2 linked regions of the Coturnix japonica genome follow. The main gene of each other region encodes a partner of the protein of the gene in region 2 in a complex. Links are inferred from orthologs where the notes say so. Each region holds a gene or a part of one and is shown on either strand. Other genes may lie near its edges.

Region 1 (2,392 bases), about 89 Mb from region 2:
TGGAATTTTCTTCATCTGTTGATTTCTAATGCTATTGACTTCTGCTGGAGTATATCAAGAATATTTTCAGAATCACACTTATTTAAAGTTCCCGGAATATATGACTACAAGCTGATGAAATAAAGGAGAAGTGCTAAATATGTATACAATATTCAGAATTCTCTAAGTAGCTCCAGTAAAATCGATGAAGCTATACTGAATTTAACCACTTTTCACCTAAATTACTATGAAAATCTCAACTCTGCAATTATCTTAGCTAAAGATCAGTAAGCTTCGAATGTATACATGGAGGCTACATTTTGGTAACTAACTTATGTTATGTTATAACATGACATATGTCAATCTAGATGTCTAGGTTTTGTCAACATTTAGAAATCTGATAACATTAAAGTCGTTTCACTCTTACAGACATAAAGCATCTGTCATCTGCTTAGAATTAAACAAAAGCTTTGATGTCAAACCTAGACGCTCCTTTTCTAAATAGATGCATAAATTTTTATGCGTTAGATGTGTCTGCATTAACCATTAATAATTTGCCCATGAGGCATAAATTTGGGGGGATTTTTTTTTCCTAGAGAATTCAGCACTGTGCAAAATAAACTAACATTTTGGCATACTACTGATCCTGGTACTTCTCTCTGGGAATTATATTTCCATATTGTGTTGCTATAATTAAGTGAATAGAGAGATATGACAGAGGACTTGAGAGAATGGTGAGACTCAACTTCTCTTTTTTTCCAAACCTCAGCTTGGGTTCAATAGGTGTCAGAAATGACTGTCGACACCATTTGGTCCCTGTCAGCTACTCCAGTTTACATTGTGCACTGGTTGTTTTTTTCATACCAGAGTTGTCATTTCTTGACTCCTATGGGCACAAAAAGATACTGAAGCTCCAATCTCAATGCCTAAAAATATATATAATAAGTTTTAAATGATGATATAACACACTGTTGGTAAGTTAGTCTTGCTGTGCTTGCACGTGAGCTAGTAAGAAGATTCTCTGCCCCTGCTGGCGTTTCAAATCCTCCAGGGCTCATGTCTTCCCCCAGATACATCAGTAACACAAAATTAGTTCATCATTACATTCAAGTGAATTCTGTTTTCCTTATGCATACTAAAGGTATTTCAGACTGTAAAATATTCTGTTTATATTATTCTTTTTGAAAATGGACCTTCTTTCCAGTAGAGCAGAGTGCAACACCCTTTTTCAGTAAACTGTCATGCATAAGGACAAAATTTGAAAGAAAATTGGTTTTTGTCAATGTTCTTCAGGTTTCTAGCAGCCACCTTGAGGGTTAGAAATCAGGTTGAGTGTTTTAGGCACTTCTGTCTATTATATTCATCTGCGTCATCAATTTGCAAGTGGTTGCCGTCATCTTGTAATGTAGAAGCGAGGACTAGCATACCTCCTGGCATCCATCATAGCGTGTGGGTCATCTGGGTTGACTACATCATTCTGATTGACTCTCACGGGTTCTCTGGGCACATGGGAAAAGTCCATTTGCAGCTGCAGCAGAGAATCTAATGCAGAGACCTTTCTCTGTGGGATCAGGATCTGGTGAGGATCCATTGGATCGACATCTGCACTTCTAGTGTTTCTGTGGGGTTCAGGTGTGTTGAATCGAAACAAAGGGATTTCATTTCTCCTGGACAAAAACTGGGAGTACGGTGGTGGATTCATACCAGGGAAGAAAACTTGCTTAGTTCTGCCCAAGCTAACCAGAAAATTGTGTTTGGGAGATTGGTACACATCATATCCATTTTCCAGTGTCCTTTGGTTGAACACACAGTCCTCTTGGCTGAAATAATGCTTAGGGAAGGGAAAGAAAATAAAAAAAAAGACAAACGTCAACAAAGGGATTTGGTGGAGTACAAGCACCTGTTAAAGACAAAAAGACAGATGAGACATTGCAGAAGGTGTTTTCTGATCTTCCAGGTCTGCAACTCAGACAACTCATGTTAATCCAGTACGAATGTCTGAATTTTCAACAGGAGTGTTATTGAGCCAACACTAGTTTCAGCAGAGGGCTGCATTGCTTGAACTACTGTGAATGTATACTGTAGCAAGTCTGCAAGATCTCACTGGATCTCTTTCTGCTTTCATATATTCCAGCAGGAACTCAGATGAACTCTTTATCAGGTCTACAATTCAGTGCAATCAAAGAGGAGAAAAAGTTTAACCTAAGCAGCAGGTTATCAGCTTGCCAAAATCTGCATCCTACTGCTGTACTTATACAGATTTGCTCTATGTGAGGAAATGGATCATATATAGCAGACTGTGCCTGTCTTTTACCTGTTAAAGGTAACTTACCGATCCAAAAATGTCTCCTTTCATGTCCATGCATAGGTAGCGTCCACTCTTCACACCTGTGATTATCACAGAGCCAGCACC
Region 2 (3,835 bases):
GCTATGCAGGATAATTAGTTTGTGTTTGTAAAATTACATGTGGATTTAATGCTGTCACATAAATGGTTATTGCTGTTCTTTATTTTTAGTTGGCAAAGATGAACATAAACACACACAAAAAAAAATGCAGCCTCAGCCCAAACAGTTCTGTACTGTACCCTGGAAGTGTTTAATCTGCATAAACCTATTGGCTCCTCTGGAATGATGCAGGAGAGCAATGTGCCAGCGCTGCCATACGCAGCCCCAGAGACCAGCTGGAAGAAGGCAGAACAGGAAACTCAGGGTGATACTAGCATGACCCCAATGCAAGGACAAAAGACTTTTCCTTTCAGTGAGTGCTGATTGTCTTGCAGAAAAAAAAGTAAGTCCTGGAGAAACATTGAGTCAGTCAGAGGGACAAGGTTAAAAGCTTGTTATGTGTGTAAGGAGAAGATGGACAAAAGCACAGTGACAGTATAGGGGAAGAACAGAGAGTGAAAAAGCTCTTTGGAAGACAGAGCTCTGGGGAAGTATTGTGACTGGTTAGCAGGGATATATTCATCTGTGACAAAGAAGGCAGAAAGCTTGGAAAATATGGTTTGCACACAAGGATTATGTTATTAGTGGGAAAATACAGTAGCTATTTCCAGAATGTTTGGAAGAGATGGGGAGTAATTGAGTGATGCTGTATGAATGACAAAGTTCTGTGAACAATGGGATAATGTGCAGACTAATGGGAACTGAGAGAAAGGCCCATATTCACACACTTAGAGACGTCTCAAGAACTGGTACAGCCTACAGTATTAGGAAGGAGACAAAGCAAACAAACCAAACAGATTGAAACCACAAGCCTAAATACAACTAAGATATGTTTTTAACTACAGATGCAGAAAACATGCAGCCAGTACTTCATAATGTTGCCAAAGGAACTCTGGGGCACTTAGTATGGATGCTGACTAATTCCTAAAGTAGGTGGAAATTATGGACAGGGAAATCAAAGCCAACACTTAATGCAGTGGACACGATGATGGAACTGCCAGCCATCCTTCACTACCTACTAAAATAATGGGATAGATTATACAAAGCTTGATAAATAAGAATTACAGGAGATACATATGATTAATGCCAATCAGCTTAGCTCTATGAAAAATAACTCTTGTCAAACTAATTTGACATCTTAACTTGACATCATTTTTATGAGATCAGTAGATCAATACAAGTAATGTTTGATGCGATATACTTACAACTTCATAAGGCAACTGACTTGGTATTATATGGCATTTGGATCAAGAAAATAAAATGTTATGAGGTCAAGGTGGGCCCATAAAATAGAGCAGGTAAGTCTATATATATAATTACAGAGAGTTAATTGTCCCAGTAGGTGGTCATGGAAAAATAGCTTTTACAACTAAGATATTTTATATCTTTTAGTGGTATTTCTCACAAAATTTGCAAAGAACACAAAGATTGGGGACGTCGCTAGTGTAGCTAGTTTTTCACAAGTAGGTTAGAGGTACTTGAACACGAATAAATACAAGGATGGCATAGAGGAACACCACAATTCAGTACAGTTCCAACCTGAGGGGAGGGAACCTTTAACGACTAGATAACAGCAGTTAGCAACAGACTGCATGTGACCAACCTGCTGCTAAAAGGGCTAATTGGCTTCTGGGATTTACAAAAGAGGAGTAAAATTGTAAAAGGTAACATTATACACACTTAATCTACAGGTGTGGCTGTGGTAGGAACAGTATGTCCAGACCTGGAATTTACACATCTCATGAAGAATGCTGGCATGCAGGAAAATGTTTAATAATTGAAAGATTCTAAATCATGTTTTATCTAAGGGACACAAAGAGCTTTGTTGGAAGTATTTGCCAGAGAGTTAAATAAAAGGTGGCTTATAGAACCATAGAATCGTTTGAGTTGGAAAGGACCTTTAAGGGTCATCTAGTCCAACTCCCTGCAATGAACAGAGACACCTACAGCTTGATGAGGCTTATTTTCTTCTTGTGATAGCCAATACATGGAAATGCATTGCAAAATTGCCGAAAGCTGAAGGCAAAGAAATTAACACTAGAAATAAGTTTTTAATAGTTATATATGTGAAAAAGGCGAGTAACTTGACACTGAAACAGCTTATATTGAAGTGTAGAAAATTCTCCATTAAAAATTAACTTGTCCAGGTCTTGAGTTTTTCTAAATAATATCTTCATTGTGTGACAGGATGACTCAAAATACCTCCATTTTACCTTATAACTTATGAACCTCTCAGACAGAGAGAACAACTGGATTGAATTCTGAATAGCAGGAAACAGTCCAGGAAGCAGCATATGAGGTAGAGAGCTGAAATGTTATGAAGAGCCAAGATAACTGCTGGATTAGATACAGAGACAGCTGAGGAACAGAACTCACATCCAGCTCTGAATTACACCAGTGACAAGAGAAGCAACAAAGAAACAGAACAGTTGAATTGCAACAGGAAGAAAATAAGACTACACACACATAACATCATCTAGTTAAAGCTCTTGCACCCACCAAAAAGTTCTGCAGGGTTATGTAGAATACAAGCAAGGCCAGTCGTCCTTATGCTTAGTAACAACAATCAGTTGTAAATAAGAGGAAAAACTAAGGTGTAATAATTTATGGAGTATTCTAAGCAAAGCTTCATTATTATTATTATTTTTTTAATTAAAACATCATCTTTCACAAAGTATAAACACTGAAAGTGGTATTTGTGGCATATAAGCTGCCTATGATAGCTTACCTTTTAAGGCTTCATTGATGTAATTCTGTATGTAATATACTCTGAGCTTATCGTGCACAATATTCTGGTCATCATCAATTCCATTAGCCATAACATAAACTGGGACATCACCATACTTTGATTTAACCCATCTGAGAATTCTACGCAGTCCCCAGGGCACTACTGCAGCTCTGCTGGGGGAGTGCAGCCATGTGATGTCGTTGATCATCTGAACTTCAAGATAGTGGTCATATTTCAGTGCATCTTCTCTCTCCCAGCCCACAAGGGTAGTCGTGTAGTGACTTAAGGCAAAGAAATCAAATGAGCCCTGGATTAATTTCTTTTCATCTTCTGAGAAAGAAGGCAAGTGGAAATTATACAGGTCAATGCTGTTTCTCCGGTGAAGCCATGCCCTCATCACATGTGGGTAGTCACCGTTGCCAAAGATGGGCTCTGCAAGCCAGCCAATGTCAAACTCTAAAATTCTGTCAGCAACTTCTTGGTCATTCCTGGAAAAGGGACAAGCTGGTTCTACCCAGTCAGCTTGCAGAGCTATAGATATTTTACCCTTCTGAGATCTCCTGAATTCTTTGTCATAAAGATGCCATGCTTTTGCGTGGGCTTTCAACAGATTGTGTCCTGCAGTGTATGTCAAGTTTTTCACAGACGGTTCATTCATTGTGATCCAAAATTTCACATGGTCCCCAAGACTTGCAAAGCTGAATTTTGCATACTCAACAAAAGCCTGAACAGTTTCTGAGTTTTCCCAAGCTCCATATTTGGCAAGAGATGTTGGAAGCTCTTGATTCTCAGCCATAGGTTGCCAGAGAGCAACAACAGGAGTTATATTAACTCTGAGAAGTTCACTACAAAAACACTGATAATAATGGACAAGTGTGTGGTTGATTAGAGAGAGATTGCCTAAAGGAAGGACTGAAGACCATTTCAGTGAAAAATGGAAGTGAGTGACGTGCATTTCCTGCAGGAGAGAGATCTGAAGTCTGATGGCAGCGAAGTCAACACAGTGATGCTTGCGTTTGGAGGCGAAAACTCCATCCACTTTAATTAACTTCTTTGTCTGGTGAACATCCCACACATAAACATTAGGGT

Evidence for each region.
Region 1: the proteins of KL (region 2) and FGF23 are in contact, whole or in part, in a cryo-EM structure (PDB 7YSH), measured with the Homo sapiens proteins. The link is inferred for Coturnix japonica from reciprocal best matches to the Homo sapiens genes KL and FGF23. Residues at the interface, in NP_004786.2 of Homo sapiens: Phe377, Lys385, Leu389, Glu390, Pro392, Trp417, Phe418, Ser420, Lys429, Tyr432, Tyr433, Lys436, Phe437, Arg468, Ser471, Ile472, Arg556, Arg693, Asn694, Met695, Thr696, Tyr697, Ile735, Val752, Phe755, Asp756, Asn782, Asn783, Leu785, Ile812; in NP_065689.1 of Homo sapiens: Leu39, Met74, Ala80, Val88, Arg91, Leu166, Ile167, Phe169, Asn170, Ile173, Arg175, His177, Asp184, Ser185, Glu186, Arg187, Asp188, Pro189, Leu190, Asn191, Val192, Leu193, Lys194, Pro195, Arg196, Ala197, Arg198, Met199, Thr200, Pro201.

What each region holds. Positions count from the first base shown.
Region 1 is NC_029516.1:67,148,376-67,150,767, reverse strand, and holds the end of FGF23 (fibroblast growth factor 23), read right to left. Parts: coding exon 2,312-2,392; intron 1,811-2,311; coding exon 1,373-1,810; 3' UTR 570-1,372; downstream 1-569. UniProt on the Homo sapiens protein: Regulator of phosphate homeostasis. Inhibits renal tubular phosphate transport by reducing SLC34A1 levels. Up-regulates EGR1 expression in the presence of KL. Acts directly on the parathyroid to decrease PTH secretion. Regulator of vitamin-D metabolism.
Region 2 is NC_029516.1:155,888,689-155,892,523, forward strand, and holds part of KL (klotho), read right to left. Parts: coding exon 2,747-3,835; intron 1-2,746. UniProt on the Homo sapiens protein: May have weak glycosidase activity towards glucuronylated steroids. However, it lacks essential active site Glu residues at positions 239 and 872, suggesting it may be inactive as a glycosidase in vivo.